3 linked regions of the Oryzias latipes genome follow. The protein of the gene in region 3 purifies or fractionates together with the protein of the main gene of each other region. This does not show direct contact. Links are inferred from orthologs where the notes say so. Each region holds a gene or a part of one and is shown on either strand. Other genes may lie near its edges.

Region 1 (3,891 bases), on a different chromosome or scaffold from region 3:
CGTAGCAGCTCACAAAAAGTTGACCGCACGGACCGCCATCTTAGCTCCTCTAGCAATTTGGAGTTGGGTCTCCTAATTTAACAGCTGCAGGATTTAAGTTTTTAGGTTAGAGACGATAGTAAAAGCGGTCATGCTGGAGATACTAATTTAAAAACTAAGAACAGAGAATGACATTCAAATTTACTAATTTACGGGACATTTTGCTCGTGTAAATAGGTTTATTTTCTTAACAAAAATATCTAATTTTGCGATAATTGAACAATTTCACAATTTCATCACGAAACACATCACACAACAATGAAAGGATGTTTCCATTCAGGAGAAGAAGTATTTAAAATTCAAATTCAACTTTATTTATGGAGCATTTTTCTTGTTACAAACACTTCAGAGTGATTTACATTAAATAAATAAATTGTAAACAAGAATAATAGCCCACACACATATTCAAACATGTAAAAACTACTTAAGAGCAAAGTGGAAAAGATGAGTTTTGAGGGTTTTTTCCTAAAAAAAAAAAACTCCACTGTCTGCTTGTGGTTAAGATGTGTGCCGTTTAAAATCAATTGTATTTTTTCTTAGCACCAGAAAGAAGAGCGTTATAATAATAATGATGCTGGTATATGAAAAGTGCTTTAGTATTAAAGTTTTACTCTGTTATTTGAAAAATAAAATAAAAAGAAGTAACTTATTTTTTTCAGAGCAAACACAACATTATCTGGATTCTACATAAATTGTGCTCTCAATTTTTAATTTATTTAACATAGGGATATCATCTGCAAGCCGAGGTGGCTCTTATAATCTTTCATTGTGGCTCTTTGGTTTTGAAGAAAAAATGCTAATGATAATACTAACATAAATAATGGATTTGTGGTTTTGGTTCATTTCTTTTAGTTGACAGTTGTGTTTTATAATTTTTTAAATTTAGAAAACTGAGCAAAATGATGCACATAAAGCAACAGTCCTTATTTCTGTTGATCAACAATGACTAGATGCTATTCAGAAGCAAAATTAAAGTATAGAATTGCAAACAGATGTTCAGGTTAAAAAAAAGTGGATTTTGCCCCAATGTTGTCATGTTTATATTCAATAGTAAAATGAGAAAACGAATTATGGGTGCATCTGTCTAGCAGTTTTAACTCTATTTGTAAACTCGGAATCTGTTTATCTGCTACAACCGATCTGTGTAGGGGGTATTTTATTTTGAAAGGAACTGCAGCTGCTGTCACAAGTAAAATAAGTTGAAATTCTTGTAAACTAGAAAACTATCACTTTCATTTAACTCATCATCATATTTTAATTATTGTAAATATTTAAAAGCTAAAACTGGTTAAATAACAGTTCAATGGTTAAAAGTATGACCTCAAGAGGGCGAACCATTTTTCTTTTACTGATGTGCATATTGCGCATGTGCAGACCTACACACGTGGGGTAAACGTTTGCACGAGCTGCAGCCTTTGGAAGGTTTTGAGACGCAATTTACCACTTTTGGCGTTCGCTATACTTATTTCGATCCCGTTAAAGGAATTAGTCCTCCGTGAAGCATTTCGCCGAGAGGGCCGGAATATCAAAGAAAATCAAAATGGTGAGTGTAGTTTGTCTTGAGCTAGCAAGCTAACGAAAGCCGCTAGCTATTAGCATCTGATAACAGCACGCGGGGTGCTGTAATCTGGCTATTCTAAATTTAAAGTAATTATTGTGTTTCATTATTATTATTATTTTTTGTCAACAGTCAGAACCTGAGGTTAACCCAAAGGCTTACCCGCTGGCCGACGCCACGTTGACCAAAACTATTTTGGATTTGGTGCAGCAAGCCTCCAACTACAAGCAGCTGAGGAAGGGGGCCAACGAAGGTAAGGGAATTAAAGGAGAAATATTTAGCTGATCGGTGTAATATTCTTGGGATTTATCGCAGTCTTTATCTGTATTAACGACAAAATTCGTGAAACATCATGATGAAACGAAATAAAATAAAGCGCTTAGTAGGCTTGATTCTCTCACTTCCGGTAAAAATCACCCAATATTTAAAGCCTATGATTAATGTACCTAAACCAGAAAGAGTAGATAGCGTGAAAGAGTTGAAGAAGAATCTGGTGTTTCAGCAGACATTTTTCACCAGAGCAAAAATCCTGAGGAGGCTTCTTACCTGTGAAAGCAACTTTTATTTTGGCAGGTTGACCCTCTTCACTCTAACCTCCAATGTGTTTCTAAAAAAAACCCATAAAGTCTGCTGTAAATTCAAAACAGCCCTCTAAGCTGGAGAATGCAGGGCTGCATCTCTGCTAAAACACTGATTCTAAAGTAAAATGAGTTAAATGACATTTTTTATAGCAAATTTCCATTTCTGTTTAGCTTTAAACTCCTTTTATTCATAACTGCTGTTCACAGCTGAAAACAAGTATAAAATATTTAATAAACTATTCAATAAAAAAACTGTTTTTGCACAAATATTTTTCAATAAGTCAAATGTTTAAGTGGAAATTAATCCATAGATGAATTGTTGTCACTTTTTTCCAATTGAAACAGAATTTCATTCGTATTTCTTTAATTCTTTCTACAAAATCGATCAGTAGGAGATATTAAGGTTGCATAACTGTGTTAAACAGGACTTTCTGGTTTAAAAAAAGCTTCAAATAAATGCATTTTATTCATAAACAGTCAATTTAAAGCTGAGGTAATAAAAAAAATGAACAAGCCAAATATTTGTAGGATCTAGATGAATCCAAGCGATTCTAGATGCTGTCCAGATATTTGAAAAACGCCATTTTGTCTTCGTTTTGCTTCATAGTTAAGCATCCTGATATAAAAAAAAATGTTTGTATGTCATCTTATATTCTGACACTTTATATCATCAAACCTTCCAAGGGTTTGGAGTAATATTATTATTGTTAATATTGTTTACATTTTCCTGTGTTCTGACAGCGAGGCGACTCTGCTCTCTCCTCCACAGCGACCAAAACCCTGAACAGAGGCATCGCGGAGTTCATTGTGATGGCTGCTGACGCTGAGCCGCTGGAGATCATCCTCCACCTGCCGCTGCTCTGCGAGGACAAGAACGTCCCGTACGTGTTTGTGCGCTCCAAGCAGGCGCTGGGCCGGGCCTGCGGCGTGTCGCGTCCCGTCATCGCCACCTCCGTCACTATAAAGGAAGGATCCCAGCTCAAGCCGCAGATCCAGTCGGTCCAAATGGCAATCGAGAGACTGCTGGTGTGATCTCTGTGCTCATTTTCTGTTCTCATTTGAGTTTATTTACTTTAACAAAATACTTTTAGGTGTTTATTTTTTATTTTTTTGGTGATCATAGCAGCTTTGCTTCTATCAGTGTCCAAAACCAACATCATTTCCTAATAAACATTTTTTATTAATGTAATTCCTGTGTTTTATTTTTTTTCCCTTTAAGAAGTGTTTACTTTATGCAGAAGTAGTGGAGACCAAGGAGACTTTAAATGGAAGACAGAAAAACATCATAGAAATTAAACATTTTTTTCCAAGCATCTCATCCAGTTAGAAATGTAATTTAAAACAAGTGTCTGAAACTGAAGGACTCTAGAAGATACGTCTCTACAATGTACAAAGTTAAATGTTTACCAAATAAATGAGTATTAAAGAATTAATTCAAAGTGTAATCCAGTAGTGCTTTGCAATACATTGTTTTCATTTTAAAAACAGAATTTTGGGTCTAAACAATTTTTTTCTTACAATTTATTTAAAAAACATTTAGAACGTTTTACCTTTATCTCATTTCTGAAATTGTCAGAAATAAGGTTATTTTTTTACATAAACTTTGTTCAGTGAACAGAATTTCATCTTTCAACACAGTAAAACTAAAGATGCGATTAATAAAATTACTAAAATTAAAATAATTTTAAAATGAATACATATGCAATTTGTGGT
Region 2 (4,243 bases), on a different chromosome or scaffold from region 3:
CAGTTTAAGCAGAAATGTGGTCATCTAACCCAATTTAACTGTGATGTCCACACACAGATCTGAAGAGGTTAAAGCCAAAGAGCTACCACAGACTGTTAAAGGGGCCGCCTGTGGTTGCAGACCCCTGTTCATTCCTCTAAAGACGTCACATTTACATTACCTTTAACTCAGCTAAGAAACAGAGCTGTTCAGCTCTTCACTATAGACCTGTAGAGTAGTAATGACTCACTTCAGAGGAACCATCCATGACAAACATCTGAAGCAAACTGACTTAACTCTCCTACGTCAGTTTCAGACTCTCACCACAGCAACATGACCTTTAACTCGAGGAAACCCTGAAACAGCACGAGTCCTGCCGTACAGAAACTAGTCCATGCATCTGTGATGGAACTTCCTGATGACTGGGCTGTTCCAGAACAGCTCTGAAAAGCCTTCAGCTCATCCAGACAACTGTAAGCAGAGCTTTGATGAAATTTGGTGGAAGACATCTTTCTGTTCAAACAGAACATTCTTTCTACGGAAACTTTAAATGTTCATGCTCCACGTACTCTCCAAAGACCCCAGTTAAAAAAAAAAAAAAAAGCCGGTTCTGTTTGGTGGTTTCTAGAACAACAGAACCAAGTCCATTTCATTTCAGGACAAAGCCTCCCTCAATGTTAAAAACAACTAGAGGATGGTTTGGGGGTAGTCGTGTCTTTCTGTCCGTTCAGACTGACCTGCTGCGTCTACATTTGAATGAGGATTCTCTGTCGTTTTCATCTTGTTTGCTTTTTCATGCGTGCATGATGAGCTTTGGGTGAAGAGTAACCCTGAATTTACACTGCTCCCTCTGCAGTGTGCCGCCGTCGCGCTGTTTGAGGAGTTTGTTTCAAGACCCTCCCCCTGGAGGAGTGGATTGGCCTTTCAACCCCGTGTCTCTTTGCTCATCCAATACTTAAACGATCAAACCCCGTACCCTCCTCTTCCTCACTGAGTCCTTGTAAAATACACATTTTGTGTCATACATGTGTTTTTTAACCTCCACAATTAAACTTTCCTCGTCCGTGGTGGTGTTAGCGGCGGTGTTGACGTGCGTCATCATGTGAACACGTCACTGTAAATATGAAGTCTTAGAAAGTTTTATTTTGAAAATACAACAGAAGATTTTATCTTTAAACCCGGATCCGTTTCCCGGCTTTTAGGGACGAATTTGAAGCGTCGATTGGCAGAAAATAGAACTGCTGCGTAAAGCCTGGGTTGTGGAGGGACGGACATGTGACGGAGACGGTGTAAACATTCTGATTGGCACATTTCTTGTGTCACCACATCGCAGACGCACCGCAGGTAGAAATCAGCTTTTAGACGCCTGTTTAAAATGGAAAAGATCATCATCAGGAGTCCATAAGTACCTTCATGTCTGTGCGGCTCTATCACCACCTTCTTCCCTCCTCCAAACCCTCCACGGCCTCCTCTCCCTCCTCGTCCTCTTGGGGTTCCTCTGCCGCCCCCGCGTCCTCGAAACCCTCCACCGTCGGGGGACCGGAATCCTCCACCTAAAAAGAGGCTTTTGTGAGTAACAGATCCTTCTGCTGGCTGTCTACGGAACGGAACTACGGCGCCGTTCTTACCTCGTCCACCTCTGAACCCGCCTCTTCCTCCACGGTCACCGAACCCCCCTCTTCCTCCTCGGTCACTGAACCCCCCTCGTCCTCCACCCCATCCTCCTCCTCCTCTTCCTCCTCTGTCTCCACGGGGACTGAATCCTGAAACACACAACACATGAAAGATTGCAGTCAGGTGGTCTCACTAACTCCACGCCTACAGTCCCGCCTACAACTCAGAGGTGAATTTTTAATGAACTCCTGCTGCTCTGCAGGAACTATGTCCTAGGAAACAACAGTTTATGGATCTTGCCTGAAAACGACAAAATCAGAATTAAAAGACCACTGGGAACACTTTGAAAATAGATCCAATGATGATCGTAGTGGGACTTGAAACACTTTGGATTTCGAATGGAGGGTGGGGCCTTGGTCCTGCCCAAAAGTCAACACCTGTGGGGGACTTAACTCTGTCCCCCCCTCACTTTATGTTTCAGTCCAACCAGTGAAGTCAGAGATCGTCCAATTCGTCTAGATTGTATACAAAGTTTAACTATATTGTTTGAGATAGGAGTTTGGAGACTTATTTTAAATGAATAATTAAAATTGCCCCAAATTGGGGGCGTGGTTTTCTGCCTGCCGTGACCAATCATGAGCTGTAAAGAGGGCCAGTGGCTGTTCATAAACAAAATCTCTCTTTTTTTTTTTCAAACAAGAGTCATTAGAGACAACACAGCGACGTCCTTAAAAAAAAGGTAATCTAATCCTAATAAAAATCACGTGACCGCAGACTTCGTGGTTTGGTTTCGGGGAGAATCTTAGCTTTTGGGTTCGGAATGGAGAGTTTGTCCTTTCCGTCGTTCTGACCCATAACATTCACGGTTCGGGAGTATTAGCGAGAAGCCCCCCCACCAAAACACGAACCATCTGAATAAAATTTAGGGGCTTCGTAGACGCCGCTGCCGAGCATGATGGGAAATCGGTTTGATTATTACCAACATGTAACTTATCGGCGCACGAGGCAACTTCTGTTGTTACCCCCCTCCTTCCCTAACGCAAAAAATGCTTTATTTCGGAGCTGAGATATTGACATTATAGATACATCCGGGCGGAGCTTACGATATTACCTGGCTTCATGATAGCTTTAAGAACCGGGAAAGTTGACCTCTGATTCTTCGAACCGTCCGGGTCCAACCGCGCGTGCGAGCTGCGTGGCCACGTGCGCTTCTTATTCTTTGCAGCAGGGAACGACTTCCGTTTTCAAACGAAGTCGGGGCGTTCCGCCGCTCTGTTCCAGAGGTGCTGCCCCCTGTAGCTCTGGACATGTCTCTGCACAGACTACCCCCGCTTAGAATAAAAAGTCCAACAAAAATAAAGTGTCTAGGAGAGATGGCAGTGGAGCTTTTGACTGAGTTGTTCAACAGGATGTTAGAATGTGAGAAGATGCCTAAGGAATGGAGAAGTGTGATGGTGCCCATTTAAAAAAAAGGCAGGTGTAAAGTGTTTTGGCAACTAAAATATTTAGTTTTGTTTATGCTCAAAATACATACGTAAACATTCATTCGTTCATTTTCTAATCTGTTTTTTCCCTTTCGGGGTCACAGGGCTGCCAGAGCCTATCCCAGCCACTTGCAGGCGAAGGCAGGGTACAACCCTGGACAGGTCGCAAGTCTATCGCAGGGCCACAATCACACACCCATGCATCCTAGGGACAATTTCGAGTAACCAATTAACCTATGAAGCATGTTTTTGGAGTCCCCGTAGAAAATCCATGCATGCACAGGGAGAACATGCAAACTCCACACAGAAAGGTCCCCCACTGATGTTCTGTTTCAGGTCCCCCAGCCGGGACTTGAACTGGGAGCTTTCTTGCTGTGAGGAAAGAGCCTTTCTTTGGATTGTCAGCATAGAGGGGGCAGCGTCATTCACAGTAGTTCATTGGGCCCTGTGACTGTAGTATAGGGGTTCGCTCAAATATTATGTATGTAAATAAAGCATAGCCACATTAAAGATTCTCCACCCTGTCATGCTGCCTCATCACACTCTATTGTTTTTGGAAATAATTCGTTTTTTCCCCCCTTTATTTTTGAAGCACCATTCAGGCTCCTGAACTGTTTAAAGGTACTTGAGAATTTACTTTAATGTAGAAAAATAAACATTTATTTATTTCCTAAATCATACTTTTTTGGTTAAGGCACAGTCATTCCATTTTTTTTCTTGTTCTGAAAATTATTTTGTTGTCAAAATACTTGTTGACTGTTCCCTTTATATATTTGAAGTTACCTAAATAAAAGCACTATGAATTTGCTTGGGTAAAATCAACTTATATATATATTATTAACATTGTGATCATTAAATAAACTAAATTTTACAATTATTTTTTACAACGAAAGACGTATTGAAATTCTGGTAGAGTTTTTTCAAGTCATATTTAAAAAAAGAAAGAAAATGTGTTCCGGTTAAATATCACAATACATATCGTATTGTGGGACGAGTATTGGGATAAGTATCTTATAGGCAGACTCTTGCCAATACACACCCCTACGTCGCAGTGACTGACATTTAGGAATTTATACGTTCAGTTTGTTGAATAATAACCAAGCAAAATCAGAAAAGGGCTGGTTTATACTCGTTCATACTGATGTCAGCTGTTTTTGATCGCAACT
Region 3 (4,138 bases):
TGGGAATTTGTGCAGTTTTGTTTGTTTTTTGCAACTGTTGCAGATGTTTTCAGTGATTCTCTTTATCACAGAATCCAGTGTTGAGACAGACAATTTAAACGTTTCTCTTTTTAAAAACAAAAAGAAAAGAAAAAACAATCCCTTCATGGTTATTGAAAGCTGACGCTGGTCCCTCCTCTCTGCAGGCGACCGCACAAACGTGGCGACCACCGATCTATCGGAGATCCTTCCAGAAGAGGTGGAGGCAGAGGTCAAGCTGGCCGCTGAAATCTCCATGGGAACAGAAGTGTCGGAGCAGGACATCGCCAACATTCGACATCTCTGCGATCAGGTCTGTTCTCCTTGATGGAACGCATGCTGGTGTCTGTGCTGGGCGCTACGTTGCCGTATTTTTGTTGTAGTTTATTAATTTTGAAATGTTAACAAAATTGCAATCAGCTCTATGTTTTAAAACGTCGGCCAAGGATTTAAGGATAAAGGAAAGAAAAAATATTTGTAGATGGTGGTGCGTCCTCAGATCAAATTTGGTGTGGAAAAGAGCAAAAATATTAGCATTACATGGTAAATTCTAAATAATCAACTTCAACTGCAAATTGTTAAATGAAAATTAAAAACTGAGTCCAGATTGGAACTTATAGTCTCCTAAATTGTTAGGTCTAAATAATCGTTGTAGCTTAATGTTCTCTGCATTCATGTCTCAAAAAGCAAAGAAGTTTTTTTTTTTTTTGTGGAATTGAAGCTTTATTTTGATTAAGCATGACACAGATTATTATTTAAAAATTAACTTAACAAAAAAGCTGAAGTACAAAGTCGAGTCGAACATTTTCCAGTAGCCTGAAGGAGTTTATGCATTCAAGAAGATCTTCGCATGAAAGTTTCTCACAATTCACTAAAATGATTTTTCTGGATAAGCATTGAATGCATCCAAAACTAAACATTTTTGGGTTTTATTGGGCATGTTTTGTCTGCAAATAAATGGAACTACTCTATTGAAAATCTCAAGTAAATTGAATCGGAAACGATCTGTCTGATCCCAAAGAAGAGTCTTTTTGCTGATAGGTCTGACTTCAAAGGTTTGTGGAGTAGCAGTGGCAGTGCTGATGATGTCGACAGTTGTCTTCATCCTGAATATCCCCGTGTGGGTTTTCAGTCACTACCTCATCTGAACTGTCACGTGATGCTCGCCGCGGCGCCAAAGCGTTTGTCTCCTGCGCGACCTTCAAACGGATCTGCTTCCTCCCCAGGTGATCGAGATCTCGGATTACCGCGCACAGCTCTACGATTACCTGAAGAACCGGATGACGGCCATCGCTCCCAACTTGACGGTGATGGTGGGCGAGCTGGTTGGCGCCCGGCTCATCTCGCATGCCGGTAGGTTTTGTGCAGCAGAGAGGGAACAAGGCGGGCAATGATGATGCGGACAAAACGTCGTTTTCCTGAATCTGATGACGGTTTTAAGTCACTACCTCTTCTGAGCTCATATTCTTTAGGCTATTTTCTCCTCAACACCAAGTTCAGATCATATTTGCCACTCTTAATATTTTATTTTTTAACTCTTTCGTGTTCAGGTTCACTTCTGAATCTGGCCAAGCATCCGGCCTCCACGGTGCAGATCCTGGGCGCAGAGAAAGCTCTTTTCAGAGCTCTGAAGACCCGCAAAGATACGCCCAAATATGGTCTCATTTACCACGCCTCCCTAGTGGGACAGACCACTGCCAAGAACAAGGGCAAAGTATGTTCCGGAGAACCGAGGGAGGGATAAATGATGACTGATCACCATCAAGAATAAAAAAAAATTGAACAATCCTTTCACCTCCTCTGCAGATCTCCAGAATGCTCGCTGCAAAAGCGTCGCTGGCTATTCGCTACGACGCTCTGGGAGAAGACACGAACGCCGAAATGGGAATCGAGAACCGAGCCAAGCTGGAGGCCAGACTCCGGCAGCTGGAGGACAGGGGGGTACGTAAAAGATTTCAGGATTTCCTGCCATTTCATTTCTATATTTTAAAAGTTCGAATTTTTTATTATTATTTTATTTTAAGTGGCTGTCCCTTTTTTTTTTTTTTCAAAATGGACGCTTTTCTGCCGGTTTGTCGCCATAGCAATCATTTAATGTTTCGGTCCCCTGGGGCCGCCGAACAGATTGGTGTAATTTTCATCAGAGTCGGCTTAAGTCAATGTTTGGATATTCTTGGAAGCAGATGTTTTTTGTTAGCCACGCCCACATTCCTAATATGTTCATATTGCATGACCTATCGTTTTGCTCACCTTGATCCAGGATTGATCCGTGTATTACATTTTTACAATGTGCCAGTAAAAATTTAAATTAAATGAGCTGCTTTTGCTCGCTCGTCGTGCCAACGCCATTCAAACTCTACAAACTTTATTTATAACTTTATATGCCGTAGAAGGTACCAAAGATGATTAGAATCTAAATTGTGAATTATTGGAATCATGACTTGAATATATATATTTTTTTAAAACGTCTTCTATTTTAACACCATTTTGATGCCATAATCTCAGTTACTTATAACCAAATCTTCCATTTCAGATCCGTAAAATCAGCGGTTCTGGCAAAGCCATGGCGAGGGCTGACAAATACCAACACAAGAGGTTAGGAGCAGAGCACTCCTCTCTGCAGGGATCCTTTACTTCTGCACGTTTGTGCGACATGTGTTGATTTGTTTTCAGCGAGGTGAAAATTTACGATCCATCTGGAGACTCCACCATCCCCTCCACCTCAAAGAAGAGGAAATTCGAGGAGGTGGAGCAGCAGGAGGCTGCAGAGGAGCCCACCACATCGGGGATGAAGTCCAAGAAGCCAAAGAAAGAGCCCCAAGTTCAAGGTGAGCAAGTGATGAAGGGACGCCGCGGGGGGGTTGAGATGTTCACGACGCTCAAGTTTGACCATGTGTGTTCCAGAAGAAACGCCTGAAACTTCAGCCGAACCGGAGACGCCCAAGAAAAAGAAGAAGAAAAAGGACAAGAAAGCAGTGGAGGAACCAGCTGAAGAGCTAAAGGAGGAGGAAGAGGAGGTGGCAGTAATGGAGGTGAGCCTTAGGCCAAACGTTTGTGGGGGCAAAATCTGGAATCCTGTTCTAACTGCTCACATTTACTCTTCAGTCAACAGAGAAAAAGAAGAAGAAGAAGAAAAAGAAGGAGGAAGATGACGAATAAGGAGATGGAGCCAGTGTATATATTTATTTTAGATATGTCTCTAATTTTGTTTTGTTTTTTACCCATAGAAGGTATCATCTGCATTGTTCCATTATACTACAGAATGTTTAATTTTAGACACAACAAAAAGAAAGTTCCTGTTTGTCCGTTCTTTCTTTGACACCATTTTATATTTTTGTCTCTTTGAAAAGGGATTTTAAATCTGTGTCTTAGAGGAAACATTTCCAATGTTGAAAAAAAAAAGGATGGACGAACAAACGTCTTGCTGTAAAGTTAACCTTTCTTTCCAATTATTGATTGAAGTTTATTTTTGGAGCCAGACGAAGCTAAATCTGGACTCAAGATGGACGATTGAATAAAAATTATTACAAACTTGTAGATGTTGTGATTTGCATTCAGTTACAGAAGTCACGTTTAATGCCCACATTCTGTGCTATAGAGCCAATACCATACAATTCTTAAGCCTTTTAGAGTAAAATAAAAAAAAAATCTGTATATGATATTACTTCCCACACAAAAGAACACTTTTTTTTTATAAATATTAGTTATATTCCTGAGCTTGTTTCCAATCAAGAAATTAGAGACAACTTGATCTCTGAAGCCCCGCCTCTCACTCAATGTGGTGACGTCATCCGAGAGTCGAGCTCAGCAACCTGTGTTTCGCCCACAACCAAACTTTTGCAAAGCTTTTTGGCCAAACCCTGCTAGCTCTGTGGAGAAAGTGGACGGCAGAGCCACAGTGCATGCGGGTAATCATCCAGGGTGTTATTACAAAACCCACAAGTGTCTGATTCTCTTTGGCCCATCATGAACATCCTTGGTCTTGTGTAAGTGAGTCCTATGAAGAGTTTTAAACAGATTAAGCTGCAGGTTAGGACTTTTGGTCAGTCTAAAGGTGTTTGAGCAGATCTGTGACCAAAAAGGTTCGCCTGAATTAAATACCCAAGCCAAGTCTGTACAC

What was found.
Region 1: the proteins of nop58 (region 3) and snu13 fractionate together in Homo sapiens (co-fractionation; 3 studies listed by BioGRID and IntAct, with this or other methods). This does not show direct contact. The link is inferred for Oryzias latipes from reciprocal best matches to the Homo sapiens genes NOP58 and SNU13.
Region 2: the proteins of nop58 (region 3) and fbl purify together in Homo sapiens (affinity purification with mass spectrometry; 7 studies listed by BioGRID and IntAct, counting the BioPlex papers as one, with this or other methods). This does not show direct contact. The link is inferred for Oryzias latipes from reciprocal best matches to the Homo sapiens genes NOP58 and FBL.

The regions. Positions count from the first base shown.
Region 1 is NC_019877.2:3,754,709-3,758,599, reverse strand, and holds snu13 (NHP2-like protein 1), read left to right. Parts: upstream 1-1,381; 5' UTR 1,382-1,579; coding exon 1,580-1,582; intron 1,583-1,729; coding exon 1,730-1,850; intron 1,851-2,947; coding exon 2,948-3,210; 3' UTR 3,211-3,367; downstream 3,368-3,891.
Region 2 is NC_019874.2:7,457,865-7,462,107, reverse strand, and holds the start of fbl (rRNA 2'-O-methyltransferase fibrillarin), read right to left. Parts: upstream 2,834-4,243; 5' UTR 2,715-2,833; coding exon 2,705-2,714; intron 1,743-2,704; coding exon 1,608-1,742; intron 1,533-1,607; coding exon 1,389-1,532; intron 1-1,388.
Region 3 is NC_019860.2:15,369,944-15,374,081, reverse strand, and holds the end of nop58 (nucleolar protein 58), read left to right. Parts: intron 1-185; coding exon 186-331; intron 332-1,089; exon of another isoform or gene 1,090-1,173; intron 1,174-1,244; coding exon 1,245-1,371; intron 1,372-1,400; exon of another isoform or gene 1,401-1,482; intron 1,483-1,568; coding exon 1,569-1,732; intron 1,733-1,824; coding exon 1,825-1,959; intron 1,960-2,551; coding exon 2,552-2,613; intron 2,614-2,691; coding exon 2,692-2,846; intron 2,847-2,922; coding exon 2,923-3,050; intron 3,051-3,123; coding exon 3,124-3,177; 3' UTR 3,178-3,555; downstream 3,556-4,138. UniProt on the Homo sapiens protein: Required for the biogenesis of box C/D snoRNAs such as U3, U8 and U14 snoRNAs. Part of the small subunit (SSU) processome, first precursor of the small eukaryotic ribosomal subunit.